Linked DNA regions of Schizosaccharomyces pombe. Changing the gene in region 1 together with any one later gene gives a genetic interaction. Each region holds a gene or a part of one and is shown in the gene's direction. Other genes may lie near its edges.

Region 1 (4,260 bases):
AAATTAACGACGGTGAAAAATAACTACTGACATAAGCCATCATTAGTTATATAAATAAAAGGAACTACGATAAAAAAAGGCGTAGGTAACATTGTCAAACGGAACACGAGATATTAACAAAAGAGGAACAATAGCACCACCTTTCCACAGTCTACAATATAATGGTGGTAGACGCGTCGCAACACAGAAAAGAAACGTATCTTTGGCAAAACAAAAAAAAAATTTTAAAGTCAGTTCCTTTCAATGAAGAGACTACCAATTCCAATTTTTTAACCTTTAGGATAAAAAAGCGACAATTCTAACAAACTTCGACAAACCATATCAAAATCCTAAATCACCAGCAAAAAATCCAAATTAAGAGTTGGACTGCCCTCACTGCCTCACCCACTTCACCTGTCATAAACACAAACAAAACTACTTACAAAACAAAATTGCCACGTTGACGTATAAGCTACAGCAATCAACACAGCAACACTGAATATCAAATTGCTAATAGTACACAAAAACAAGAATGAACAAAATTAATGCCGGCTAACCTTCACAACACACGCGCGCATAAACTGCCTATTACACTAAAACAAGCAATATGCAATATTTACTTCGTTGTATAGCGCCAAACAATAACAGATAGCACAAATGACTTAAGATTTATAGCGACTTGGCTTCAAAGGGACAAAAAAGTAGTGCCCTATAACAAATTAACGATTAATAACGATATCGAACTCTTCCGCGCGACTAGCAATTTCAAGAGTCGAACCGAGGAAAAATGTGGTTTGCAGAGGGAAGGAGGAAACATGTTGGTATAAGTCACCGTTGTCCTCAGGGTTAGGGTTTTGATGTGAATCAACATTGCGGCGGATGAACGATTAGATGATAATTTCAATGGAGGGCGACTGACCAATTATCTTTCTCCTACGTCACCACTGGCTAAAGCTATCAGGCGCAACGCAAATCGCGGGGTGTTATTGTAAACAAACAAAACCAAAAAATTCGGCCAAACTATGTGTTCTGCAAGTAAACAACTTAATAATAATACAATTAAAAGATAAATGATCAACAATAATTGCAGGTTAACTTCTTACAAAATTTCGATAAAAGTTTCAAACCCACAAAGCACATTTTCTGTTTTAAGTGTTTGTAATCACACACTCACTGCTACAACAACAGTAATTACAGCCTTTGTCAAGACAATAAACAGATAGAAATACGGAAAAGTGCAATTATCCAATGTAATCCTCCAATGTACTGACAAAAAGGTTCAATCCAGTTTAAGCAAGGTTAGAAATGTTTGTTTACACAATTGGTTTCAGCCGTGCGCTAGTAGTCTTAGTATGGCCAAACATACGAAAAAAGTTAGAATGCAAGATTCGAACTCGGGATTTCAAGAACTCCGAACGGGACAAAGAATCTTATGGAACGGAATGGAATCATTTCTCGGTCATTTGAGAAACCGTCCTACAATCTGATTGGTTAAAAGGACCACACCATGAAAAAACCCATGTGATTTTTGCGAATCAGAAATCGGTGAGAGATGGGAGTTGAACGCTTGTACATAATTACGTGACAGTGGCAAAATCTAGGCTCTCCCAAAATTTTTGATCACAGTTAATGTTCCGCAAATTTTTAGAACGTTGAGTCGCGCTATTCCATTTGAAAACCGTTTAACAAAACAAATTAAATGTTCTTTATTTCTAAGGAACGCAGTTTGAAGATATACGAACACTAAATTCGTAAGTTGTCATACTGCATAACGACAGTAAAACGTTATTAAAGGTTGAGTGGATGCTAAAACAGAAGGTGAGATGTAGATAAAGATCAAAAAGCAGTTAAACAATGCATTTGTTAAGGTTATAAACATAAGAATAGATTTTAAAAGATCCATAGTTTAAATAAAATGAAAGACCATTGCTTAAAATGAAAGAAGGACGTTTGTTATTGACTTTTTTATGACTTTACATGGTTTGACTCGTAGAAAATCCAAACTTTAGATAGAAAGCGATTCAAGCATTGACTTTGGCATATAATTCTCCTTGTTTCTGTATTAAGGAATTTAACCGATATACAGAAAAGTTTTGTATTCGTTGCCAATACTAAATTTAACTTGAAAATGTTCAATATTGAAAAATAGACAGCTTATTGAAGTGACCAACAGTAGCATCTAATAAATTCTTGACTTTTTCCGCTTGAACAAAATGTGCTCTTCTTTTGATTATTTTTAACAGCTCATTGATATTACCAGTTTGATTATAAAGTAAGTTTGAGGTTGGTTTTTGCTACGTTGTCATCACCAGAGGGTTCATCGTTCAATGTTCACCGCCATATGTTGTTCACTTTCTAAACTTACGCAGAAAGCACCAGAGTACAAGTACCTCACCACCAGTCAGTCACCTCTACTATTTGTGTACTGCACCGTGAAGAATCTTCGTAATTTATGCGACGAATCTAAAGTTACTTCCTATAATCATTAAGGCCTCACTTTTATTCTGAGATCGCTATCCGGTTGTATTCTTTTGTTTAAAGCATTATATCATCAACTCACCATGAATGTAAGTATTACTGAAATTAATTACCTTGCCCAATTTTTTTGTTATATTTTTATTATATAGCCATCTGTAAATTCATCTTATCATTGAATGCATATTTCATCGATTTTCGTCAGTATTGCTCAGAGACTTTATGAATTTGCTTTTCACATTCTTTGTCGTTATCCTTCTTTACAATATCAGCTAACTTATTCTTTTAGTCTGAAGACGCTGCATTAGATTTACTCCGACGATTAAACCCAAAAGATATCTCTAAAAACCTAGACACAATTCTTTCCGTCGCTCCCGATTTAGCTGATGTCCTTCTCTCGTCTGTTGATCAGCCTCTAAAAGTAAATACTTGTTCTGAGTCAGGTAATCAATATTTGTTATGTGACTTTAACAGGGATGGAGATTCGTACCGCTCACCATGGAGCAATAAATATGATCCTCCTTTGGAGGATGGTTTAGTTTCTACTGATCGAGTTCGTAAATTAGAAGTTTCTTTGAATGAAGCAATCCGTGTCTATCTTGATCTTTATTACGAGGGCGGTGTTAGTAGCGTTTATCTTTGGGACCAAGACGATAGTTACGCAGGCGCCGTTCTCATAAAAAAGGGTATTTTTATTTTCTGTCAATTTCATTATATAATTCTAACTTCATTTAGCTTCTACTTCTAACTCAAGCGGATGGGATTCTATTCACGTGTTTGAATGTCTGCCTACCACGGAAACCAACGTTTATGATTACCGACTTACAAGTACTATTATCCTTTTCCTTTCATCTGGCTCGGAGGAACAGTCTGCCTTGCCTTCCAAAGCTCTTAACCTTTCAGGTCATTTGACTCGCCAAACTTCTCAACGATTACCAGCGGCAGATGATGACACTGAGATCGCTAATGTTGGCAAATTGGTTGAGGAAATGGAAACTCGGATGCGCAACTTCCTCCAGGATGTCTACTTTGGAAAAACTAAAGATATCATCAACCAGACTCGTTCCATTCAACCCGTTTCCGATGCCCAACCAAATGATTCGGCTTTGCGTTCAGTTTTAAACGATCTTTCCATTTAGGATTGCTTTTTGTTTTCTTTCCGTGATCTTCTCATAGTATTCGTTCCATCTTCAACGAAAATAGTCATAGAAAGATTGACTAATATAAATAAATACACCGATAATCTAATTTTTTTACAACAGTTTTAAAAGAAATTATTGAATTTAATTGTTCAGTAAAAAAGTTTATATAAATAGCATTAAAAAATATACGTTAAGAGACTTTATAAGAAAGCTGTTAATCGAAGATCATGTAAAAAAGGTCATGAAATAAGCTGATATGGTTTAGACGAGGAACGTGATCGAAGAGAGGAGTAATTTATTGGAATTGGAAGACGCGCCAGGTATAATCGGTGAAAAAGGTCAAAATCCATACCCATCTTGTAATGCCAATCTGGCTTTTGAGAAGTTAGCGGCTTGGTACGTAGCTGAACTAACCAGAAACCAGTATACTGCATTAACTCAAAAAGCTGGGATTGGGTAATTCCACGGGGAAACGAAAAAATGCCACAGTTCCATGAAATCCAAACTATGTTATACATTATATACAACATTTGTTCCGATGAAAATGAAGTCATGGGTTTTTGATCAGGCGAAGGGAGTTGAAGCGGGCATGGTAAGGGAATACTGGTATACTGAGCTAAAAATATACAAATAAAGGATAAAGTTAAAGCACAATCAGGATTTA
Region 2 (8,822 bases), 1.1 Mb from region 1:
TGCTGCTGAAGCCGTTCGTACCTTTGGCGATGTAGCTCCTTCCAGCTTACAAAGTCAAAACTTTCTCATCTCCATCAAACAGCCAGTTGGTGTCAGTGCCTTGATTACTCCTTGGAACTTCCCCGCCGCCATGATTGCTCGTAAAGGTGGTGCCGCTTTGGCTGCTGGTTGTACCGCTATTTTCTTGCCTGCTTTCCGCACTCCCTACGTTTGCTTAGGTTTAGTCAGGTTGGCGCAAGAGGCCGGTTTCCCTGACGGTGTCTTAAATGTGATCACTTCTTCTGATGCATCTGCTCATGGTAAAGAACTGACTACCAACCCTATCGTTCGTAAGGTTTCCTTCACTGGTAGTACTAATGTCGGTAAAATTCTTATGGGACAAAGTGCCAGCACAATCAAGAAGGTTTCAATGGAGTTAGGAGGTAATGCCCCTTTCATTGTATTCCCTGACTTCCCCATTGATCAGGCTGTCGAATCTTTCTGCACTATCAAGTTTAACTCTTGTGGTCAAGTTTGTGTCTGCCCTAACAGAGTTTACGTTCACAAGAATGTTTACGACGAATTCGTCAGCAAGCTTACCGAAAAAGTCAAGACCATTAAAGTAGGAGATGGATTTGACTCTTCTTCTGCTGTTGGCCCTTTGATTTCTCAAGATGGATGCAAAAAGGTCAGCAAGCACATTGAAGATGCTGTTTCAAAGGGTGCCAAAATCACTGTTGGTGGAAAGGAGATTTCCTCAAGCAAAGGTTATTTTTTTGAACCAACCGTGCTCTCCGGTGTAACTCAAGACATGTTGGTTGCTAGCGAGGAAACATTCGGCCCACTCGCCTCTGTCTTCAAGTTCGACGACACCGAAGAGGTGATCGAATGGGCTAACGACAGTGATGTTGGCTTGGCCGGTTACGTCTTTACCAATAACTTGTCCACAATGATCCACGTTGCCAAAGAACTAGAGGTGGGTCTTGTAGGTGCCAATATCGAAATGGTTGACGAACCATTTATTTCCTTTGGCGGCATCAAACAGAGCGGTTTTGGCAAGGAAGCCGGTCGTTTGGGCGTTCAAGAATTTATGGTGGTTAAGGAAATCAATCTCAAGACTCTTTAAGGATTTTCGCTTTAGAAAGCTGCATATTATTGAACAAGCAATGATGTCCTCTTTTGGTTAATGACTAAAAAATCCTGATGTTATGACTGTTTTACATGTTTGCGATACAAATCGTATTTTAGTTTAATGATATCAAAAAAATTTAATACCTGAACATCGTGGGTCATCGATGAAGAATGGATTGTTGTGTCAGAAAATCTATACTTGTAGTTATTGTTCTGAGCAATCTGAAAAGTTATAAAGAATTGTAGGTTCTAAAATTGGCAATACTGGAGCTAGAAATCTATATAATAGTAAATATTTTTTAATAATAACAGGTGTAGCACGTGAAATTTTGCGTCGCCTTGTAGTTTGTTACTTCCAACTAGACACATGTATTTTTTGTTGTTTGACTTGAAATAGGGTCAGGTATTCAATTTTCCGTATGCAGTGATGAGTGCTGTTGATGAATGGGTACATAATGCCAATGAATGCATAGAAATTGTACAAGGTATGCTATGTTAAATTATAATGTTTTTACCTTGTGTTAACACCTGTCAGTAAACGAAAAGCATGAAAAAGATTGTCAATACCATCCTAGCAATACATATGCAATATTTGGAGATGCTGAGGTTATTTATGGATATAAAGATCTAAATGTCACTGTAAGATTAAATCAGCAAGTTTTAGTCATGAAATTTGATTGCAAATAGTAACAGTTATTAGATAACCTATGAATGCCCATTGATGGTCCCAAAACTGGAAATCTCATATTCAGAGCGCCTAGCACCAGATTCAGGAGTGGAACCAACTGATATTGAAGGAACATTAAACACTTATCTAAAAGATCGTTCCATTAAGGTTGAAGGAAACTCATTTGACGTTCATTCGGCAAATAGTATTCATAACTATTCCTTTAATGGAAAAACATTCAAGATTTTACAAGTATGTTCGATTACCTTTCAATTGGAGAAGTATTCAATTATTGAATATCCCTATATGTTCTTTGGCTAATAATCGTAATGTATTAATAGGCAACGGTTCTTGAAGCTAGTGAGATTATGCAGCATTTGCAAATATTTTCCTTATTTTTTATTGAAGGGGGCTCTTTTATTGACCTTAATGATCCAAGATGGATGGTATATTTACTGTAAGTTTGTTATTTTCTACGCGTCTACTTTCCTTTTACCTTTTTATCGAGGTTTTATTAACAAAAATAAGTTACGAGACTACTGAAGATGATTATTGCTTACGTGGTTATTGTACTGTATACAAATATTATAAATGGGACAAATTAATTCACGATGGTATTCGAGCTCGTATCTCACAATTCGTGATTTTACCCCCTTTTCAACATCAAGGACACGGTTCGCAATTGTACAATGCTATTGTTAGTACCTTTTTGAAAAATCCTAAAATTTTAGACTTCACAGTTGAGGATGCATCGGAAGCGTTTGATAGCCTTAGAGACCATTGCGACTATAAAAGATTATTATCAATGGGAATATTTTCAGAACCTGACTTTCATCCCTCTCTTTCTAGGCAGTGGATAAACTCGAAAATAGCTGAAACAAAGTTAACCCAGGTTCGTAATTTGCTAAATTTACCATGCAATGCAACTTACTAATTGTCTTTTTTTAGCGTCAATTCTCACGCTGTTGTGAATTAGCATTTACAACGAAACTAAAAAAGCTTTCATTATTGGAGCGGAAATCTGTTAGACTAGGAATAAAGGAAAGGATTTTTCGTCAAAATCTTGATGTGTTGCTACAGTTGGATAAGTCCGAACGTATTGAAAAAATTCATAACGCCTATGAAAATCAGTTTGATGAGTATAAACAGATTGTCAAAAAGCTACCCAAGCTTAAGGAAGATTCGCCTCGAAAACGCCAAAAACTTGCTCAATCTTCTTCCTAAATGAAAACACTTTTAGAGATCTGAAATACTTTGAGAATATTGAAGGCATATTAGCATAAAAAGTTATGAGAATCGACTAAATTACACTATTGGACGCAATTACTTTTTATATAATTTGCTTTTGAAAGCTTTCGCTTGAAATGATTAAAGACATTTGAAACAGTGATCATTTTAATAATATAAATTTTGTATATATTTTGCAAATTTAGTGTGATATCTAGTTTAATAAAATCTATAAAGGCACCTTATAAAAATTCAAACAATTCCTCATAATGAACTGCTTTTTCCAAAATTTAAATATTTTAATATCTACTATCAATAATATTGGTTATTTTCAACGACCAGTACAACTTTAGGTGCTTGTCATTCTCATCCGTCCTCCTTCCTATTCCGATCCCGACTTTGTTCATTACCTGACACCCCGGATAAAGTTAGCTCAATTAGCAAATTCTCATTCGATCTTATAAAGGAATTATTCTTTTTCAAAAATGAGTGGAAGATTTGTGAGAGCTAGTAAATATAGTACGCATGCTTTTTGAGTAAATAATTATTAACTGACGTTAGGACATATCTTTGGACAAACCTGCAAAAAAGAACTTTGCTACGACAACATAAAGGTTGGTCGATACTTTAATGGTTTGAAATTTACTAATTGTCTTCAATAGCTTAGCAATAATGCATGGGATTCTAACCTATTGAGTGTGAACCCCTTTTACCTCAGTGTTAATTGGAATGCGGGAGCTGGAGGTGCATTGGCAGTTATCCCTTTAAACGAAAGAGGAAAGCTTCCCGATCAAGTTAATTTGTTTCGGGGCCATACTGCGGCTGTTTTAGATACTGATTGGAATCCCTTCCATGATCAAGTATTAGCATCCGGCGGTGATGATTCTAAGGTATCCTGCTATTTGACTTTATTTATGTATTAACGAATTAGATTATGATATGGAAAGTACCAGAAGATTATACTGTTATGGAGCCTTATGAAGATGTTCATCCAATTGCTGAATTAAAGGGCCATAGCCGGTATGTCGTACATTGCATTAGGGTTTTAGTTACTGACTTTTTTGTATAGTAAAGTTGGTCTTGTTCAATATCATCCCACTGCAGCGAATGTTTTGGCATCTTCTAGTGCAGACAATACTATCAAGTTGTGGGATTGTGAGAAGGGTGTAGCCCATGTATCTCTGAAAATGGATGTAATGTGCCAGTCTATGTCGTTCAACGCTGATGGTACCAGACTTGTAACAACTTCTCGAGATAAGAAAGTTCGCGTCTGGGACCCTCGTACTGATAAACCAGTCTCCGTTGGAAATGGTCATGCAGGTGCTAAAAATCCCCGTGTCGTTTGGCTCGGGAGCCTTGATCGTTTTGCTACAACTGGTTTCAGTAAAATGAGTGATCGTCAAATCGCTTTATGGGACCCTACCAATCTGTCTGAACCGATAGGTGGTTTTACCACATTAGACACCGGTTCGGGAATCCTTATGCCATTCTGGGATGATGGAACAAAGGTAATATATCTAGCAGGTAAAGGTGATGGTAATATTCGCTATTACGAATATGAAAACGATGTTTTCCATTATTTATCTGAATTCAAGTCCGTTGATCCCCAACGAGGCATTGCCTTTTTGCCAAAACGCGGAGTTAATGTTTCTGAAAACGAAGTTATGCGTGCTTATAAGTCCGTGAACGATTCTATCATTGAACCTATAAGTTTCATCGTTCCTCGCCGATCTGAAAGTTTCCAAAGCGATATTTACCCTCCAGCCCCATCTGGTAAACCAAGCTTAACAGCTGAAGAATGGGCCAGTGGGAAAGATGCTCAGCCTGATCTTTTAGATATGTCTACTTTGTATGAGTCTAAAGGTACTGTTGAAAAGGCTGTTTCCGCTACAGTACCCTCAGCTGGTGCTCAGGTACAAAAACATAACGAAGAGAAGGTTGAGACACCAAAGCCCGAAGCTCAGCCAGTTAGCAAGCCGAAAGAATCGGCGGAAGAACAAAAGCCTTCCAAAGAGCCGGAGGTGAAACCAACTACTCCTTCGGCATCAAAAGTAGAAGAACCATCGAAGAAACGTGATGAGGATAATCATCAGAAAGAAGAAACTGTAACCCAGCCCAAGCGTGAGAAAACACCTGTTGAAAAATCTTTTCCGAAACCAGCTAGTAGCCCTGTTACCTTTTCAGAAGATGTAAAGAAAGAACCATCAGAGGAAAAGAAATTGGAAGTTTCTGACGAAGCACCCAAAGCTGCTCCTCTTGCCGAAAGTAAGAAAGTTGAAGAGAAAGAACCCTTTTATGTTTCAAAAGATAAGAAAGATATTTCAGCAGTCAATCTGGCCGATCTCAATAAACGTTTCGAAGGTTTTGAGAAACGATATGAGGAAGAACTCGCAATCCGAGACTGGAAAATTGCCCAATTGGAGGATAAGCTGGCTAAATTAACAGAAGCAATTAAAGAAAAATGTAATTAAGTTTTTTTGTGCATTTTTTATTTTGTCCAGAATGCTTTTTTAAACATATCACTAAGCCCGGACATCATGCCTTCTCCATCTCACCTCCGTACCTTACTACCTCAATATTTACAAATGTAGGAAAAGATATGGAAAGTCGTTCAAAAGTTAAAACTTATGGAAAGAACCGTAGATATATTAATAAAGATATTGAAATTTGGGCTTCTTTAGATGAACGGCCTTGTGCTTTGAAACCTCGGAACATTGAAAATTTTAATAACCAAGAAAGAAGTGACCTTGAGCATATTCACTCTAAACCGAAAAAAGATTCATTATTATCTTGGAACATTCTCTTAAAAAAAGGTTCATACAAAGAAAATGAGTTATTGGCGAAACGAAATCAAAACCTGGTACCTACTGTCATAATACCGGCTTCTCCTCGGGATAATGCATCAAAGTCGGTAGTCAGTAAAAAAGAGGTTGTAAATTTGTCATCTTCTGTTGCTTTATCCGGAAAACCCGCAAATAATTCCAAATTAGATCCACTTCATCGGCTCCTCCAAATAGTAGCGCAAGAAGACGCTCTTCCATTCAGTCAATTTGTTAAGTCTCAGACTTTTGAGATCCAAAAAATTGGCGAAGCAAGTTATAGTGAAGTATACCAAGCCAGCAATGCTGATGACGTTCCCGTTGTTTGGAAAGTTATCCCGTTTGGAGAAGACGGACAAGCTCAATATGCTGATGTCCTAAATGAAGTACAGATTAGCCAATGGATAAAAGTCGACGGTTTTGCAAACCTTCATCAAGTAGTTGTCGTTAAAGGTACTTATCCTTCACTTTTATTAGAAGAATGGGATCGGTATCTTATGCAAAATGGTTCTGAGAACGATCGACCAGATAGCTATTCATCAACGCAACTTTATTGTGTTTTATGTCTTGATCATTCAGGAACAGATCTGGAACATTTTGAGCTCCGTAGTTGGCGAGAGTGCTGGTCGGTTTTTTATGAAACATTAAAAATTCTTTCTTTAGTTGAAACTCGTTATGAGTTTGAGCATAGAGATTTACATTGGGGAAACATTCTTATTCGGAAAGCTGATCGGAGTGAAGAGGAAGTTTCGTTTCTTTTAAATGAAATATCGCTTGACGACATTGAAAGTGTCGATTTTCCCGGCTCACAAGATAAGGCTGATGATTTTGACAACATACTTCAAGTTACGCTGATTGATTTTACATTAGCCCGAGCATCGTATTCTCAGGGTATAATTAGTTACAATGAATTTAACGACCCCGATCTGTTTAACGGTGTAGATGACTACCAATTTGATATATATAGGTTAATGTCTAGAGTGACAAAAGGAAGATGGGCGCAGTTTTTTCCCATTACAAACGTTTTATGGCTGCATTATTTAATTCATCAACTTTTACACAAAAAGAACTTGTCATCGCCGTTAACAGAGACTGAGACGCTTATGAGAAGTCGTCTTAAGCAAATATTTAGGCTTATTGACCCTGTTAAAACAATGCAGTTCCAGCAGGCCGAAGACTCGATTCGCTCTAAATCTACAGTTACATCTGCAACTTCTCTCCTCAATTGGGTCCGTCAAAAATACTAATTATGGTTTTTGCATACTAAAAAATTGAACGGCGTTCGCATTTTTTTAATATTCCTTTCTTTTTCATGGTATGCGTTGCTAAAATCTTATACATATGTACTTATATTTTAAATTTTGGACGTCGAAGTGAACTTTTTTGGTTATTTTTTTTCTTAAAGTTGACCATTTTATGTGGGGTTTTTGTTGTACATAAAAAATTACATATCTTTGACTAGCAAAACTTATAAGTAAATAAGAATTATTAACTGTTTAAATCACAAATGAGTGTACATGTTTTGTTATTTCCTCAGTAAATCCTATGATGATTGTAGTCGCTATTATATAATTTCCAATATGGCTTTCTATTTCCCAGTTTATGATTCGGACTCTCCGACTACAGTGCACCATGATGAGCGGAAGGAGTCGTGGCGGTCCCATGGGTTTATTGTTTGCTTGCACATTAGGTGTTGCATCTGCTGTAAGTATAATTCAAAAATTAAAAAACCAAGCTTGAATATAGCGCTGAGAATTCAATCCCTCAAAATAATAAAAATACTAATCTTTCAGTTTTATTCTACAAAACCACTTTGGGATAAAAATAGGTAAATTGAATCAAACATTTATAAAAATGGCTAACTATAGTGGGGAATGATAGCCCAGAATATAAGCAATTGCGTTCGGAAATTGAAGCTACAAAACGTGATGAAGAGGTAAAGAACGGCGAACTTATCGACCCCAATGTAACAACAGAAGACGAAAAACTTTGATCAGGGTTTATATTAAAACATTTTTTGTCTCATCATATTCGATTTTGTTTCATGAGAAATCTTCAACCTCATTAATATTCTGCAAAAAAAACTTACATACTAAGTAACTTTGTAGAGATTATTATAACTGTTCCGTAAAACTACCCATTTTATTATTTTTAATAAACTAGTACTAAATGAGAAAAAAGCAAATCTGAGTTAAGTATCTGTTATAATAAATGGCAACAAAAAAAAATAAACTAGAAATATACAGTTAATGAACAAGGCATGGCTCCAACTTCGAGTGGTCAATTTTCAATGGTACATTACCGACACAAATGGTATTTACTGCGAAAGTACAAAAGCCCTTTTAAGCGAGTTACCCAGGAATGTTTGCCAATAATGTATTCTGTTCAAAAAGGCAGGACCTCGTAAATAGTAATACAGGTGGGGAAGTAATCGTTCAAAAGCTTTGGTAGATGAAAATGGAACGGGGACAAGTTCGCCAAATGACTCCAATTCCTCTTTGAGTTCTTCTTCGGTCCAGGTAGACTGTTTGGAGACAGAAGGATGTGAGTATAAAGAATCGTTTAGCGATGCCATGTCAGAAGAGCTCCATTCAGAAGCAACATCCATATAAAATAATTTAGCAGCATGAATAAGTTCATGACGCGAGTTGTAAGCAACATGGGAAAATATGGAACCACGTTTATTGTACTTCCAAATCCAATCTAATAAGTCCTCAGACGACCATCCATCTAGTACGTTGGAGGCAATCATTACACGCGGTGTGAAGCGGTTAGCGTATGCTTCTTTCAAAAGAGTTTCCCGAGGTGAAAGAACAGAAATAGGAATGTTTCGCTCTCGCAAAAAATCAATAAGTCTACCGTCTGACCATAAGTGAATAATTTCTTTCATATATGGTGCAGGCTGGCTATCTGTAATATTTGTCACTTTGTCTTGCGATTTTCTTTCCTCAATATCGTAATAACGTCTAGCCAAGACGATTAGGTCGTCATGTGATGCA
Region 3 (9,876 bases), on another chromosome or scaffold:
ATTAATATTTTTCTTAATTACCTTTTTGTGTGGAGTCCCTGGGTTGGTTTCGGTTTTCTAGGTGCACCGGTCGCTGTAGCATTAACGCTATGGAGTGCTTGTGCTGTTCTAATTATCTATATTATGAAGGTAAACGGACGACAAGCATGGGGAGGTTTTAGTAGAGAAGCATTAAAAAATTGGGGCCCGTTATGTCGATTGGCTGTTCCTGGTGTAATTATGATTTGCAGTGAGTACTGGGCTTTTGAACTCGTTACTTTCGCATCGGGCGTGTTGGGTACCACTGAATTAGCCTCTATGTCTGTTTTGTCTACTACCTCGACCCTTTCTTATAATTTGGCTTTCGGTGTCGCTGCTGCAGCTGCCACAAGAGTAGGAAATTTAATTGGTGCTGGAAATACGAAACTCGCTAAGCTAGCTACGCACGTTTCTATCAATTTAGGTGCTGCAATTGGTGTTATCATTGCTGTAATCCTTTTTTTAACTCGCAACACATGGACTTACATTTTTACGTCTGATAAAGATGTCGTCGCATTGGTTGCAACTATCATTCCCCTTGTTGCACTCATTAATATTGCCGATAATACACAATGTGTAGCTGGAGGCCTTCTTCGGGGACAAGGAAGACAAAGGATTGGTGGGGTAGTAAATTTCATCGCATATTATTTATTGGGTTTGCCTGTTGCCATAATCCTTTGCTTCAAGCTAGATTGGGGGCTGTACGGTTTATGGATTGGAATTGGAGCTGCAATTCTAATTATTGCTGGAGTAGAAACTTGGTGCTCATTGCATGTCAATTGGGACCATTTAGTTGAACTTGCTAATCGTCAGTTTGATGAGGCTTAAAAGTTGATACGGACAAGTTAATGATTATTTAAATATGTATTGTGGTTTGTCATAAATTGATATATTTGAAGAGATATGTTCGGTTTATGATACCATGGTTACGACTACTAACAGTTGATTGATAAAAGTATTCGAGTCGGTACTTTTTCCAGTCTTCAAGATTTGGCCATGTTTTGGCCTATCCTAAAAATTAAGTTTACGAAAATTGCAGTGCTTTAAACTCTCATATTTATGAAGCTTATAAAAGTAAATTAAATTAATGGTAATTTGGAATCTTTTTGGGTGATTAATATATAAAATACCACATATGCTAGCTAGCAACGTTGGGCGGTAGCATTCAATTAAATATTATTTCTTTTTAAGACTTACTTAAAGAATTAATTTAAGTTTGAATAAATATGTAAATCATCTTGCAGATGCGAGTATATTAATTGCCATAAATAATTCTGTTCGCAGTGAGAATAGTTACCGAGTACAAATCGCTCGCTCAGAATTATTAAACGACTTAATATCAAAAGTTAATAAAATATGTCTCTGGTTTCATATCCTCGATCAGAATCCGAAAGCGATATTGAAGAAGAAACACCATTAGCTTCTAAAAGTTTCGATCCTACTTTGTTTCAGCATGCGCGCAGAAAATTGTCGGTTGACAGCACTAAAAAGTCACCTAAACGCCTGAAACGGCAAGTTGATTTACAGAAATCTTCTTTTAATGATAAAACTTTTAATGAATCTGATGTTATCTCTAATGAACGATTTAAATCTAATGATTTACTTGAACTTTTGCCTGCCCCAAAAAATCAAGCTGAATTAGCTCCAAAGTCATCTAAAAGATCGGACCTTGATTTAAATGAAAACTATTTATTACCTAATAACTCTGTAAGCGATTTAACCTCTACTGGATCCTCCGAAACTGTCAAGAAATCAACGTATTCAGAAAAGTCTGGTAACGTTTCGTTATTTAATATCGTAGGATCAGAGTCAAAGCAAGCCTCTTTAGTAGATTCCGATCAGAAACCTTACCAACCAATTTTGATAAAACCTAAAGCTAGAGCAAATCCTCCGAAATTGAGGAATCAACCCGAGAACGATTTCATTTCTATTGCTAATCACTCAGTACATTCAAATGCAGAGGACATAAACATTATCAATGAAGATTACATTGAAATTGGACGCCACCGAAAAGAGAAGGGACGAATTATAGACGTTGATATCAACAAACTTCCAAAACCGACCCAAGAAGCATTGCCAAGCGCCCCTACTATTAAAAGTGTTGCACCTGGTCGTCATCAACTGTCTTCTCTTGTTGAAATGGCTATCAGTCAAAAAGACAACTTTGAAGCTTATTTTGAGCAGCAACGATCAAACAAAAAGGCATCTTCTCAAAAGTATGGGTTTTAGCTTTAAGTAAATGTTACGCCCCGATAGTTAGTTTTAGGTTTTAACTGCTCGTGTATTTGTAAATTAAAAGCTGTTTATCAACAGATTCATTTTATGTATTTTTTTTTAGTTTCTGCGAAAATAGCAGACAACAAAATATGATTTTACTTATTTTATTTTACATACTAATGACTTTATTCATCGCTATTCATAAGCATACTGATAATACAATATTATCTTTGCAAGTATGTCCCAGCTATAATTCATATTTGCAATGCAACTAGCCTTTTTTTGTTAATTTTAAAAAGGAAACTTGGCTTTAATCTTCGATTTATGGTATATCCAGAGTTTGAATTGTTTAACCATATAATCAGTGTTCTCACTGGGACTACCACTTATCATAGCGTCTACCGATTTTGTGTGACCTATGCCTACTCCACATGACTGAGGTGAAGAAGGATTTCAATAAATTATAAGAGGTTTTCGTGCTTTTAGCATCAATTTTAATAGAATTTGAATTAATATTTGCTATAAAGAAGAAGGCTCGTCTTTTGTTGTACTTCAGGGTGCTTATATGATACTGTGTCCACATTTTAACACTCGATAAGGTATTATAGTCTGTAAAGTCTAATTAAGCTATCCTGACGATGAAAGAGCAAGAGTTCTCATATAGAGAAGCAAAAGATGTGTCTCTTGACTCTAAAGGCTTAGAAAACAGTTTTCTTTCTTCTCCAAATCGAGAAAAAACACCCCTTTTTTTTGAGGGTAACAGTAATGAAACCTCGGGATATGATCAAACAAAAAACTTTACACATGGAGATGGCGATATGTCCCTTGGAAACCTTTCGGAACTAAACGTTGCGACAGATCTTTTAGAGTCACTTGATTTAAGAAGCATGTATATGCATGGCTATGGGCACCTCGATTCATCTTTTTCTTCTCAACATAGTCCTGATAATCGTAAAAGAATGAGTAGTACATCAGTGTTTAAGAGGATTAATTCCGAGGAAGAAGGTCGCATTCCTAGTTTGACGTACTCGGCAGGAACTATGAACTCGACAAGTTCTTCTACTGCGTCTTTGAAAGGTGCTGATATTGTTGCAGATTATGAAACATTTAATCCGGATCAAAATTTAGCTGAATTATCCTTTGACCGCTCCAAATCGTCTCGCAAGAGGGCGGTAGAAGTAGCAGAATTTAGTCGAGCTAAGACAATGTCTCCGTTGGAATACACTGTTCAACATCCATATCAATCCCATAATGAACTGTCTACAAACCCAGCCCGAGCAAGAGCTGGAAGCGTTCCCAACTTGGCTCGCATACCATCTGATGTCAAGCCCGTACCTCCAGCACATCTATCTGCATCTTCTACTGTAGGTCCAAGGATTCTTCCTAGTCTTCCCAAAGATACCACAGAGGACAATCCAGCGTTGGAAAGGGTCGAAACGACGGCGTCTCTCGATATGGATTATAAACCTTTAGAACCTTTAGCTCCCATTCAGGAAGCCCCTGTTGAAGATACTTCAGAGCCTTTTTCTTCAGTCCCAGAGGCCACCTTAGACGACTCAGATATCTCTACAGAAAGTCTTCGTAAAAAGGTTTTGGCCAAGATGGAAGCAAAACGGATTTCCAGTGGATCTTCCTATGCTAGTACACTTAGGAAAGTTTATGATTTCTCTGAGCTTTCCCTTCCCACCAACGGTAAAGACTATGATGAGTTATACCTTCAATCTTCCCGTAATTCAGAACCTGAGATTTCTACTATTATCAATGATTCTTTACAACAGGAAAATATGGATGAGGATATTAGTGCCACTTCAATTCCGAAATCTCAGGCCGCCTATGGTCATGGATCTGTAACGTATCATGAAGTCCCCAGATACAATCTAACTTCTGCTTCCGTGGGATATAGTATATCTAGTCAACGTGGTCGTATAAAAAGCAGTTCTACCATTGACAATTTGAGTGCTATTTTAAGCTCTGAAGATTTACGTCACCCATCAATGCAACCCGTACCAGGAACGAAGCGTACTTATAGTAATTATTGTGAAAATGAGCCAAACAAGTCTAGCCAAAGTTTAGTCAGTTCTGAGTCCCATAACGTCGAAGGATGGAATTATTCGGAAACTGGTACAGTAGGTTTTTACGACCCTAGTGCCGAGATATCCGCCAGCATTGATGAACTTAGGCAGTCTACGCCTGTAGCCAGAGATAGCGAACTTTTAAGTCGTGCACATTCCTTTGATTTGAATCGCCTTGATCTTCCAAGTCAGGATAAGAGTACGTCTTACGAAGTCCCGAATGGTACTGAAAATCAATCACCACGTCCTGTTACTTCTCTTGGATTTGTGAATGAAACATTTTTTGAAGAGAAACCAAAGGCGCCCTTGCCACTTGGTCGCTTTTATATACATTTGAACAGCATTTTGAATATTTCGATAAGTGAAGTCCATTCACCTATCAAGATAATAGTTAATACGCCTACGCAAAATATGCAGCTTCCTTGGCAAGCTGTTAATGGGAATAATAGGTTGGACCATGATTTTGCTTTTCATGTTGACGATAACTTTAAAGTGAGTTTTATGTTTCTTGACATCCCTATTGAGGACAAGTCCAACGGTTCGAAAGGAGTATCTGCTACAAAAGACGTTTCAAACGGTAAGCCTGCTGAAACGAAATCCAAAGCTAGGAAATTTTTTGACAAGCTTTTCAACCGACGCAAAAAGAGAAAACTCAACAAGGCTGCTGCAGTTGAGAATTCAAAGGCTAAGAAGTCAGTGGTTATCAAGAAAGTCTCGGGTACTGCTACGTTAAATTTGGGTAATGTCAAAGACAGTTGTTTTGGAAAGGCTTTCAACGTAGAAATACCCATCATTTCCAGAGGCTTCTTGGAAGCGATTCCTGTAAAAATAAACTCTATAGGGAAACGTACACTTGGTAATCTAACTTTGACTTGTTTGTATATTCCTGAGCTTTCGGTTCCAGAGCAGGAATTGCCATTTACCTTAGAACAAGCTACGATGGACTTGCGACACGTTAGAAGTAACTATCTATATAATGAGGGATACTTGTATAGATTGGAAGATTCATCTATTCGAAGACGTTTTGTCGTTTTACGCTCAAAGCAGCTGAATTTTTATGCTGAAAAAGGTGGGCAATATTTGGATACTTTTCAGCTTTCTAAGACAGTAGTTTCAATCCCAATGGTAAATTTTTCAGAGGCAGTTTCAAACCTCGGTCTAGTAGCTGGAATATTGGCTACATCTGTTGATAGAAGGCATGTTCAGTTGTTTGCGGACTCTAAAAAGGTTTGCCAAAAATGGCTTCAGGTGATGAATTCACGCTCGTTTGCTCTAGATAGGGGTACTGAGAAATTATGGTTACAAGAATACGTGAATTTTATGGCTTAATATCTGAATTTATGAATACTAATCGTCTTAATGTATTTTTTGAATAATTTTTACTTATCGGATTTACTAAATGAGGGAGTTGAACTGAAATTATATAACTACTGAATTAATACTTATAGATCATTTTTCATTTTTAATCTGAATAATTAATCAACTTTTGGTTTTTTGAATATACTCTATAATGAGTAAAGTAATATAAAGGTGTTTTGTGTTGGCTAAATTTACATTACCTATATTTTGCCGTACGCACTCTAAATTGTTACAATAATATAGGGGTCAAGCAACTACTCAAATCACATTATTTAAAGGAGATGCAAAAACAAGATGATTTTTCATTTAAATATTGGACTATCAAAGTCCAACGGGGGTCAATTTTAAAAAGCCATGAGATGGAGAACCTTCAAAGTACATTGGGTTTTCCACCTCCTGAGATGACCTTTGGGAATAATTACATCTCAATTGAATACAAGAATCAGCCTGTAGTTGGATTTTTTACTGAAGATGCTCTTAAAATGGTTGGTACCAAACCTGAAGATGTAATGCAAGTTTCTTTTGCAAAAGACTGGGCCAAATCCAGAATTAAGCCCGGAGAAGAATACCCTGTGATTTACCCATTTGATTGGACTTATTATACTGATTATCAGGGAACTATACAACGTCCAAATGCAAAATTCATTGAAATTGATCAGGTAATACCTGTTCAAAAAATACTTAACGCAGGACAAAATTTATGGTTCAATGAGATAATTCTTTTCGAAGATGAGTTAGCAGATAATGGAAAATCAATGTTTGATGTGAGAGCTCGAGTTGTTCAGGGTCATTTAATATTGTTAGCACGCCTTGTCGTACGTTTAGACAAGGTAAATGTTCGATTGAATGAGACGAGGATATATATTGATTTGTTGAATGATTTTCTCTTGAAGGACTGCCGTAAAAAGCAAGCTACTTACGACAAAATTATTAAACAAATACCTGTGGGGGGAGACAAAGCTGCATTGCTAGATGATAACAATTGGTTAAGTGAGCGCCTTGATACCGTTGACCATAAAATCTATAAATTGAATTTTTGATGCTAAAATGATTCGCTAATGGCAGACATGAGAATTTAGAACTTTTGTCAACGAATGAGTGTTGAAGCAATTTACAAGTTTATTACGTTTAGTTCATGGTAATATTTATAATCATTTTCAACTAAGAGGTTATTAATTTAGGTTTTCTAATTGAGAAAGCAAAATAAATAGATACAATCTTTGGTACGATTAAACGGCGAAGATATACTACTGAAACTGCAAACAAATTTAAAATGGTCCAGTAAATTTTAGAGTATACTTAATTAGGAAGAATGATGGCCTCGTAATATTGATCGTTCGTTATAACATTGTATTTGGCAATCAACCTGTCACAACCTCTCTTCCCCTTTATATTGTACGACATTAATCGATCCGTTTTTTATTTCAACCCAACTCCTACGTATTTATTTGCAGGTAATAATTAATTTTATTAATTAAGAAAAGATTATCAAAAGATCCTTATCGTCATTCAGTAATGAGTCGCTGCTGTTTAAATTTGCCATTGAGACCAGCATTTGTTAAGCAGCCGGTATGGGGGAAGAGTATATACGGTCCCTTAAGAAGAAGATTTTCATTTTCTCCAATAAATGTTATTAATCATTCACCTTCGGAAACGAAGAGAAGAGACCCAGTAGAAGAACTCAGATACAAACCCCTTACACCTCCTCAAGATCCACGTAAAGTGGCTCCGCCAAATAGTTTTCTAAAGAAAATAAGTCTTATTTATCAAAAATATATCTCTCCTAAACAAAATTTATATTATGAGGCTACTGGTACTGCAAGATACATGTATTTTGAGGCTGCTCGACAAGCTACCCCCGAAAAAAACTCGCTAGGTGCTTTTGAATTTTGGTACCAGAAGTGTGAAATTCCTATGACATTTCAGTCTTGGTTTCAAATAACGCAATTACATTTGTGGATCCTCCATACTCGCATTCGTGGTTTGCCAAAAAATGAAAAAGTTGCCTTTTCACAGGCATTAACTACTCGTTTCTTTGAAGACATGGAACTCAGAATTCATAAAGATTACCGCATTAATAGCAATCGAATTTCTGGTATGTATCTGAAAGATCTGTTTCAGCAACAGACCGGCGCCATTTTTGGTTATGATCAAGGAATGCTGGGAAGTGATGCTGTTTTGGCTACATCCGTTTGGCGTAACCTTTTCGTTGGTCGCCCAGACGTCGACTTAGTAATTCTTGAGACTATTGTTAAATTTATTCGCCTCAATGTTTATCGCCTGTCATGTTTATCAACCGATGACTTTATCAATGGGAAGGGAGTACACTTCGTCCCACCTGAAGAAAGTGCACAAACAAATATTTGATTAATAAATGATTGCTACTCTAATGATTAATAAATTGACGAACGGTCATGTTTATTATGCAAAACCATGAATCTTTTTTGTAAATAATTACTTTGAAAGCTTTTACCATTACGTTAAATTGAAAAGTAATGAGGAGCTTTTGAAATATTTTATAGTAGAGAATGTTTGTCAATTTAATTGAAATCGTAGCATTATGTTGTATTGGAACTAGTATTTTAATAGCAGTTAATACCGATATTATCGATGCATTAATTAGCTACTTCTTTTCGTCTTGCTTTCCGATAAAGCTTTCTTGTTTAGCTTTATTGTATTCCGACCTGATCTGCCACTCCGATATTTCGTCTGCGCTGCATATTCCATATTAGTTACATATCCTTTTTTATACATGATTGATGAATAAGTTTCTTACGCTTTGGTTAAACAATCCTTCATCGTTTTATTTTCACTTCTACATTTCCAGGTTACGCTAAAAGTCCTGCCAGTAGCGCATTTCACAAAATCTTCAATTTCTTTCTGGCAATTTTTTTTTAATAGCTTTTGGTGCTGTTTCCGAAGATCAAATTCCTCTTCAATTGGAGATTTATTCATTTTAGATAATCAGTAAAATGTTGGTAACTAAACCACGTTACCCAACAGAGCGCAAATAAATGAAAATTTTTAGTCTTAAGTTGATTAAAACACAAACTTAAAATTTATTTTAATTTTAGCTTTTCATAAAAGACAAGCACGAGTTGAATAAAAAAAAAAGGCCTTAAGTGTAATACAATCACAAAGTGTCGCGTTTCAGTCGTTTGTGGTGTCGCTATCGTCTACATTGTTCAATAAACAGACCACTACTTGCTGAATTTACAAGCTGCTAGAGAACTGTTTGGTTAGCATTTCAGATTTTGTGAGTTCTCTAGTCCTATCATTCAGCAATAACGCATACAGTTTTTTAAACGTCGTTTGTTTATTTTTGAGCTCATCGTAAGAGAGGCATTTCTGGGTTGCGATACTCTTAGCTATTTAGAATATATGCCAGAAATGGATAAATCTAACGATTTCTTTGAGGAGAATCCTTGTCCTAACTCACTCGGTGATGTCTCAAGTCTGATTGAAGATTTTATAAACCTTCAATCAAACTCCCAAAACATTGCATTTGTTACTAGTGGCGGCACACTTGTGCCTCTTGAGCAAAATACGGTGCGTTTTATCGATAACTTTAGTGCAGGAAATCGTGGTGCAGCATCTGCTGAATACTTTTGCAAGTCTGGATATTCGGTCATTTTTCTGTATAGAAATTATAGTTTAATGCCATTTACTCGACGATATGAAGGTCCCTGGACAAATTTGTTTGAAAGAAGTAATGGCAGTCAGGAGAAGCCTTGGATTGTCAAACAAGAGTTTCAATCGACAGTATTCAATGCACTCAACGAATTAGATACATATACGAAACATCATCGACTGATAATGATTCCTTATACTACACTCACAGAATATTTGTGGTACCTGAAAGCTATAGCTGAACGTTTACAGATAATCGCTTCAAGAGCATTGTTTTATTTAGCAGCTGCTGTTAGTGATTTCCATATTCCACCGAAGGAATTGAGCGAGCACAAAATTCAAAGTGGTTCTGGAAGTAACAAATTAGAAGTCAAAATGCATCCGGTTCCAAAATTTCTGCGTTTCTTGGTTGACACATGGGCTCCTGAAGCTTCTATTATTTCCTTTAAATTAGAAACCGACCCTAGTATTCTGATTGATAAAGCAAGAGTAGCTTTACAACGTTATAACCACCAGCTGGTGATCGCCAACCTTCTTTCAACAAGGAAACGATCTGTCGCGTTTGTAACCTCAAAAACGG
Region 4 (7,665 bases), 2.7 Mb from region 1:
CCATTATATCTACGTCGGTGCCTATCCAACACGGTATGCATTCTTGGTTTTTTGGTCGTTTTGTATAGTTCAGGCTGTCATGTACTTAACTCTTCCTGGTGTTCGGACGCAAGGTTTGCCTTTAAAGCATCGCAATAACGAACGTCTTCCTTACTTATGCAATGCTATCTGGTCTTTTTACACGACAATTGTTATTCTTGCCGTTCTTCACGTGACCCACGTATTTCCAATTACTACATTTATCGACATGTTCGGTCCTTTGATGAGCGTTGCAATAATAACCGCTTTTGTCTGTACCTTTGTTTTGTACACTGGAACTTTGCTTTTTGGTGATCGACTTTTTGATAAACCTCATCGGTTATCTGGAAATCCCATCTACGATGCCTTTATGGGAGCTTGCTTGAATCCTCGCCTTGGCAAATTGCTTGATTTTAAAATGTTCTTTGAAGTTCGTATCCCTTGGTTTATCCTATTCTTTATTTCCGTTGGTGCTGCTGTTCGTCAATATGAAACTTATGGCACTGTAAGTCCTCAGGTACTTTTCGTTTGTCTTGGCCATTATTTGTATGCAAACGCGTGCTCGAAGGGAGAGCAGTTGATTGTTCCAACTTGGGACATGGCTTATGAAAAGTTTGGTTTTATGCTTATCTTTTGGAACATGGCTGGGGTCCCATTTACTTATTCACACTGCACCCTTTACCTTTTTTCGCATGATCCATCTGTTTACAACTGGTCAACTCAATATACAACCGGTATTTATGTTTTGCTTCTTTGCTGTTATTATATATTTGATACTTGCAATGGTCAAAAAAATCATTTCCGTAATCAAATTTATGGTACTGAGGTTCATCGCAAAACATTTCCCCAACTTCCCTGGCTTATCATCAAGAACCCTACCTTTATTCGTTGTGCAAATGGCGGTACTTTGTTGACTTCAGGTTGGTATAGGTACGCTCGTAAAATTCATTATACTGCTGATTTCTTTCAATCATTGTCATGGGCATTGATCACCGGTTTTCAGTCCCCTCTACCTTACTTTTACCCATGCTTTTTCTTTGTAGTCCTTGTGCATCGTGTTTCACGTGATATTAAAAAGTGCAAAGCTAAGTATGGGGCTGATTTCGATGAGTATTGCCGTATATGCCCTTACTTATTTATTCCCTATATATTTTAGAAATGTCTTTTTAGTCCCTTCTTTACTTAATAAATTGGCTATTCAAAATTCCACTTGAAGTGTTTTTCTACTTTAAAATTCAGTTAATTTTTGTGAAAGTTCTCAAATTTGATTGAGTAGCTGGAACATTCCTTAAGTTATGAACGAACAAAGTAAGCAGCTCTGACCGTTTTTTATACAATCTATTTCTAGACTTAAAAATTATTAACTTCCAAGTCTTTTTGCATAAAGATTTTTGGAAATAGCGTAAGGAATAGCTAATAAATAGTAACAATCATCTTGTTTCTTCATAGCGATCCATTTACAGTTAAATTTTTTTTTGCATTAGTTCACTCACTTGCTAGATATATAAATTAGTGTGGAATATTTAGGCGGTAGTGCATACGCATAACCATTTGCTATTATTTTTTTGTAGAACTGTATGTTTTTTCGCTTATATTTAATAAGGGTCATGCAACATAATAATAAGAAATTATAGACTCTGCTTGTTTAGAGTAGTGCGCCACCCTTACTTGGGGCGACGGTATCTACTGATGCGAGTAGCCCTCCCCTAACCAAACCAGTGCCAACCACACTAGCTTACCCGCTATCAGTAAATAAATAATATGGTATGAAATATTTTTGTTAACTTTACATCGTGTTTATTTAACATACATTAGTCTTTTTCAGGTGTCAAAGTCTCTCCCGAATGCTTGGAAGCTTTCCAAGAGCTCAAGCTTGGAAAGTCACTCCGTTACGTAGTTTTCAAAATGAACGATACCAAGAGTAAGTGACGAAAACGATTTAGATGGAATTTGAGAAAGTCCAATATCCCTTTTTTTAAAAATAAATTTATTTATCTACATTGATATATATTTTATGTTTGTAATGTCTTTCTATGTCGTTTTTATAATTATGTGGAACCTTTCACTAATTTTTTTTTGTTTAGCTGAAATTGTTGTTGAAAAGAAGAGTACGGATAAGGACTTCGATACTTTCCTTGGTGACTTGCCTGAAAAGGATTGCCGTTATGCTATCTATGATTTTGAGTTCAATCTCGGAGAAGGTGTTCGTAACAAGATTATCTTTATTAGCTGGTCTCCTGATGTTGCTCCCATTAAATCTAAGATGGTTTACTCTTCTTCTAAAGATACTTTACGTCGCGCTTTTACTGGAATCGGTACTGACATCCAAGCAACTGATTTCTCCGAAGTTGCTTATGAGACAGTTCTTGAGAAGGTTACTCGTAAGTAAAACACTTTTGGTTACGATTTCTTGACTCATGCGTAATACGAAATGAAATTAAATAACTTCGTTTCGGTATGCAAACCGATCCTTCAACGCTCCTTAAATATCTTTTTCTATATATTTAGAACTATAAATACAAAGATTTAAGTGTACGTTGGTTTCCTGTTGATATTTAATTTGTCAATAGTATATCTACTTTAAAAAATTTGTCATGTGATAACGGATGAGTCGGTATATGAAAAACACTGCAAGTTATTTGCCAATGTAATTGACAAGCAATCATAGAGAAATTAGTTCTACGCAGTTTCCACCACTAGCTGAAATGTTTGAGTGCCTGGGTGCTTGCAGGTTTTTATTCATCTACTTCAAGTATGGTATAGTAAGTAAGCTTAGTTTTATTTTCTCAGTTCCGACTTTTTAATTCTGTAGATTTCATCTACCACTATTTAGTCATTGAAATTGTTACAAATATTCCTCTATATATAATGATTCTGCATTCCTAAAAATGCTAATTAACAAATTACGAAATCCAACGATCTACAAAGTAATGCCATTCCATATTAATATAACAATTGCTGTTCATTCGCTATCATTTTAAAATGATGTTTTCATTAGTTTGCTCATTGATCACATAGCATGTATTTTACCAGCTATTTTCAACGTACTAGTCTACTTGATCTGTTATTGATCAAATGTAAGTGAATTGCTGCTTTTATTGTTATTATAATCAATAAAGTAAGCAAATTTACACTGGGGCACAATCAAACATTGGTATGCAAAGAACATTAATTCGATATACCAATACGATGTCAAAAAAATTGAAGGATCTCCCTGTCAGCTCAACGTTCACATCAAATCTTCCGCCTGATCCACTGGTACCGACCGTACAGGCAATGAAAAAGGCTGATGACAGAATCTTACATGTTCCTCGATTTGTGGAAGGCGGCGGCTTATTTACTTATTTGACTCCATCACTAAAAGCCAATTCTCAATTATTAGCTTATAGCCCTTCGTCCGTGAAGTCATTAGGACTCGAAGAATCTGAAACTCAAACTGAAGCTTTTCAACAGCTTGTTGTCGGTTCTAACGTTGATGTCAATAAGTGTTGTCCTTGGGCGCAATGTTATGGAGGATACCAATTTGGGGATTGGGCAGGTCAGTTGGGTGATGGCCGCGTAGTATCCTTATGCGAACTTACCAACCCGGAAACTGGAAAACGCTTTGAGATTCAAGTCAAAGGCGCAGGAAGAACACCATACTCTCGATTTGCAGATGGAAAGGCTGTTTTAAGATCTAGCATTCGAGAATATTTATGTTGTGAAGCTTTATATGCTCTAGGCATTCCAACAACACAGGCTCTGGCAATTTCCAATCTTGAAGGTGTTGTAGCACAACGTGAGACTGTAGAGCCTTGCGCCGTTGTTTGCCGTATGGCCCCTTCTTGGATCAGAATTGGGACTTTCGATCTCCAGGGGATTAATAATCAAATTGAGTCTTTACGGAAATTAGCCGACTATTGTCTAAATTTCGTTTTAAAAGATGGATTTCATGGTGGAGATACTGGAAATCGCTACGAAAAACTTCTTCGAGATGTTGCATATCGAAATGCTAAAACTGTAGCCAAATGGCAAGCATATGGATTTATGAATGGTGTTTTGAATACTGATAATACCAGTATACTGGGACTATCAATTGATTATGGACCTTTTGGATTTTTAGATGTTTACAACCCATCTTTTACACCTAATCATGACGATGTATTTTTGCGATATTCATATCGCAACCAACCTGATATTATTATTTGGAATTTATCAAAATTAGCATCTGCTTTGGTTGAGTTAATTGGAGCTTGCGACAAAGTTGATGACTTGCAATATATGGAACAACTTCATAACTCTACTGATTTGTTAAAAAAGGCGTTTGCTTATACTTCTGAAGTTTTTGAAAAGATAGTAGAAGAGTATAAAAATATTGTCCAGAATGATTTCTATGATCTTATGTTCAAACGAGTGGGTCTTCCCTCTGACTCATCTAACAAAATTCTGATAACTGATTTGTTACAAATTTTGGAGGATTATGAATTGGATATGCCAAATTGTTTTTCCTTTCTTTCTAGAAACTCTCCCTCTTCAATGGAGAATGAAGAATATGCTGCAAAATTGATGCAAGCATGTATTTGTCTAAACCCGAATAATGAAAGAGTTAGAAATGAATCTGTCAAAGCTTTCACTAATTGGGTTGGTCGATATAGTGAAGCAACGAAAACTCAGGAAGATTCATCCCGATTAGCGAGCATGAAAAAAGTCAACCCACATTTTACTCTTAGAAATTGGGTTCTTGAAGAGGTGATTAAAGAAGCATACATCGGGAAATTTGAGCTTTTTAAAAAAGTGTGTAAAATGGCTGCCTGTCCGTTCGAAGATACTTGGGGGTTTTCCAAGGAAGAAGAGGATTATTTATGCTATAACACTACTCCCTCCAAAAGCCAAATTCAATGTTCCTGCTCTAGCTAGAACCCTTCTTACTTGCCATTTATTTTTTTAATGTAATTTAAAATTTAGGAATAGCTAATCGTATGAAATAAATGATACAACGAATAGGCTCTTGAGTATAATTTTTTTTAGACTCTAAGACTTTTGTAAATCTTTTTAAATTTTATTCATTAATTTTATTCCACTTGCCATTAAAATTTGCATTTGCTTAATAAAGATTGCGATGCAGTTGCTAATGCCCAGTTTGCTATTTCTTAGCTGGCTTTTACGCGTTCGTAGTTTTTTCGACCGAAAATTTATTATTGGTCGACTTTAACCTGCTAAACGCTTGAATAAACAAAATGCCAAAAAATCTCAATCTCATTAGTTAAATCAAAGACTGAAAATGAGATTTAAAACAAGGATTAGCAACTTGTACACGTTGACGCGTAAGTTGGAAAAGATCAGCAGAAAGTTCGTTTACTAATCAAATTTAGGTCTTGTTCAGGCGCTAGATAAAATTGGAAGATTTTGCTGGCTTCGTCTGATGCCTGAAACTGTAAATTTTGTGATAGTGCCAGATTTTAGGATGACTCAAGTTTGGTCGTAAGTGAAGATATTAAGCATTTAACGGTGAAAAAAATCACATTGTGAAACTAATAAAGAAACAGAGTTTTAGAAGTCGTATGATTAACTATCTTTTTCTATTTGATTGCCCTAACTAACGTAAACGGAAAGGAAACAATATTTGAGGACTATGTCGTCCAAAGCAATGCAGACAACGTGATAAATCTAGAAGTTCCTATAGATAATTTCTATAAAGCCTTACGATCAGCGGCCAACGCTAGTGATTCTACTGTTCGTCTATCCAAGAAGAATAACCAGCCATTACTTTCGTTGTCTACCACTTGGAGTGGAAGGGCGTTTGGTTCGAATATTGTGACTCATAATATACCTGTTCGAGTACTATCACAATCATACGTGTCAGTTATTAAGGAACCAACTGCTCCTGAACCAGACTGTCATATATTCCTTCCACAACTGAATTTTCTAAGACACGTCGTGGACAAATACAAGAGTCTTTCAGACCGTATTATAATGTCAGCCAACATGTCAGGCGAATTGCAGTTATCGGTAAACATACCTTCAGCTAGAGTAAGCACAAAATGGAAAGGATTAGAGAATCCAGAGTTAGATCCTAGTCAAGTCGAAGACATCAGTCGACATCCCTCTCAAACAAGGGCACCCGAAGAATTTGTTCACATGAGACTAGACAGCAAGGACTTAGTCAACATGTTAAAAATATCCAGTGTTGCAAAGCGTGTAATAGCGTGTATGTACTATGAGAGAATCCTTTTTATGACCACGAACTAACCTTTTTACATTACAGGTTTCTGTGAAGGACATGCGCTAGTACTTTATGTTTATATAACAGATCCAGAAGATGAACATACGGCTGTTTTAACATACTACATTAGTACCTATGTGGACTAAGGTTACTTCAATTTGTTTATGATTTGATTTAATTAACGAATAATTGTTATGAGTGACTAGCCACATTTTTAATGTACATTAAAATGAAAAGAGATTAATCAACATCTACCATGCTTATACTTATTTTCTCTCTCTTCCTTTATCGATCTTACCGTTCTTTTTTATTTATTTTATACAGTTGTTGTAATCTCGGCAACTCAGTGTTTTACTATTCCGTTGATATCTCTTAAAAGGATAACACCAAAAAGAAATATAATGTTCAAGTCACAGAAAATCTGTTGATAAAATCCATATGTTTTCACGTTTTCAATGAGAGATACATACGATTAAACACAAACGTATGTTTTCAAGCAATTAACTTGAATATGAATAAACCTTGGTTCATCTTTCTTTAATCTTTTAGACAAGCAACTGTTCAGAAATCTATAAAGTCTCAATTGAACATTTAAGTGCTCAATGGGAAATATATACTTAATAAAAATTGAATATTTTAATCGTTTTTTTGAGAAGATATATGCCATTGACTGTAGCTTCTATTAATTTCCGCCTATTCTTTCTTGTACTTTGGAGGCATCGCTATACATTTTACGTAGAAGTGATGAAAATGGCGAGTTCCTCTTTAAAAGTGCGAAAATTTCAGGCTGTCTGTCATCGGAATTGACTATGTTCGATAGTTATTCCTCCTCCGATGCAGTCGGCTACACATGTAAACTGTACCAACATTCAGTACGAAAGGGGCTGAACGTTGTTACCTAGAAAAGTTGGTATCGCAATAGAGGTAACGATAGTGAAAATCCCACAATAACTTAAATATGGAGAGGTATCCGGGGAAATCCGCTACATAAACAACACATATACAGACATATAAATTGACTTAAACGTACCTTCTTTCTATAATAGTTTTACCGTTCCTTAATTGCAAATTCTTTCTTGTTTTCATAGATAGCATTGTTACTATTATTGTTATATATTCAATATAGACTGATAATTAGGATTGTACATTTCGTTTCATTTAGAGAAAAAAAAAAGGAATAATTTTCATGTTTTAAATTACTCATCTTATTCAATTCTTCTTTCTCTTTTCTTATTTGCTTTGATTTGATTCATTCACACAAGAATGCTCGGCACTTCTACTAAATGTTCGAAAAGGGATTGCAACTATGCCAAGGAAAATATCAGTCGGATTATGCCGACAATTGGTCTCGGTTACAAACAGAATTTCGAAAAAAAAACCGCGGATACTCAAAGTTCCTGCAAGTTGCTTCTCGTTGCGTTGTTAGAAAGCTTTTGTAAGCATTC

What was found.
Region 2: mutations in acp2 (region 1) and crn1 impair growth when combined (synthetic growth defect), as found in Schizosaccharomyces pombe (2 studies listed by BioGRID, with this or other methods).
Region 3: mutations in acp2 (region 1) and mid1 impair growth when combined (synthetic growth defect), as found in Schizosaccharomyces pombe (2 studies listed by BioGRID, with this or other methods).
Region 4: mutations in acp2 (region 1) and adf1 are lethal when combined (synthetic lethality), as found in Schizosaccharomyces pombe (2 studies listed by BioGRID, with this or other methods).

What each region holds. Positions count from the first base shown.
Region 1 is NC_003424.3:2,103,530-2,107,789, reverse strand, and holds acp2 (F-actin-capping protein beta subunit acp2), read left to right. Parts: upstream 1-2,356; 5' UTR 2,357-2,540; coding exon 2,541-2,546; exon of another isoform or gene 2,547-2,743; coding exon 2,744-3,140; intron 3,141-3,189; coding exon 3,190-3,593; 3' UTR 3,594-3,760; downstream 3,761-4,260. Other genes in the region: protein Atg14, read right to left, coding at 3,836-4,260. UniProt on the Schizosaccharomyces pombe protein: F-actin-capping proteins bind in a Ca(2+)-independent manner to the fast growing ends of actin filaments (barbed end) thereby blocking the exchange of subunits at these ends.
Region 2 is NC_003424.3:1,028,693-1,037,514, forward strand, and holds crn1 (coronin Crn1), read left to right. Parts: upstream 1-3,412; 5' UTR 3,413-3,489; coding exon 3,490-3,523; exon of another isoform or gene 3,524-3,565; coding exon 3,566-3,618; exon of another isoform or gene 3,619-3,666; coding exon 3,667-3,894; exon of another isoform or gene 3,895-3,935; coding exon 3,936-4,024; exon of another isoform or gene 4,025-4,073; coding exon 4,074-5,475; downstream 5,476-8,822. Other genes in the region: ssd2 (succinate-semialdehyde dehydrogenase), read left to right, coding at 1-1,105; histone acetyltransferase Hat1, read left to right, coding at 1,538-1,595, 1,646-1,749, 1,811-2,029, 2,119-2,234, 2,306-2,669, 2,726-3,001; haspin-like kinase Hrk1, read left to right, coding at 5,604-7,070; SPOM_SPAC23C4.04C (uncharacterized protein), read left to right, coding at 7,341-7,651, 7,705-7,816; nuclear bridge Ish domain protein Les1, read right to left, coding at 8,141-8,822.
Region 3 is NC_003421.2:1,143,213-1,153,088, reverse strand, and holds mid1 (anillin-related medial ring protein Mid1), read left to right. Parts: upstream 1-2,653; 5' UTR 2,654-2,873; coding exon 2,874-5,636; 3' UTR 5,637-5,773; downstream 5,774-9,876. Other genes in the region: SPOM_SPCC4B3.13 (MatE family transporter), read left to right, coding at 1-846; protein Cwf20, read left to right, coding at 1,375-2,247; TIP41 type 2a phosphatase regulator Tip41, read left to right, coding at 5,948-6,706; ubiquinol cytochrome-c reductase assembly protein Cbp3, read left to right, coding at 7,182-8,033; cytochrome c oxidase biogenesis protein cmc2, read right to left, coding at 8,290-8,380, 8,443-8,621; ppc1 (phosphopantothenate-cysteine ligase), read left to right, coding at 9,048-9,876. UniProt on the Schizosaccharomyces pombe protein: Scaffold protein that anchors the contractile ring (CR) at the cell equator during cytokinesis.
Region 4 is NC_003424.3:4,820,192-4,827,856, reverse strand, and holds adf1 (cofilin), read left to right. Parts: upstream 1-1,730; 5' UTR 1,731-1,779; coding exon 1,780-1,782; intron 1,783-1,833; coding exon 1,834-1,939; intron 1,940-2,102; coding exon 2,103-2,407; 3' UTR 2,408-2,600; downstream 2,601-7,665. Other genes in the region: C-24(28) sterol reductase Erg4, read left to right, coding at 1-1,174; fmp40 (adenylyltransferase), read left to right, coding at 3,208-4,914; checkpoint clamp complex protein Hus1, read left to right, coding at 5,279-5,321, 5,370-5,478, 5,544-5,556, 5,611-6,205, 6,263-6,366; eIF2 alpha kinase Hri1, read left to right, coding at 7,484-7,665. UniProt on the Schizosaccharomyces pombe protein: Controls reversibly actin polymerization and depolymerization in a pH-sensitive manner. It has the ability to bind G- and F-actin in a 1:1 ratio of cofilin to actin. Binding to F-actin is regulated by tropomyosin.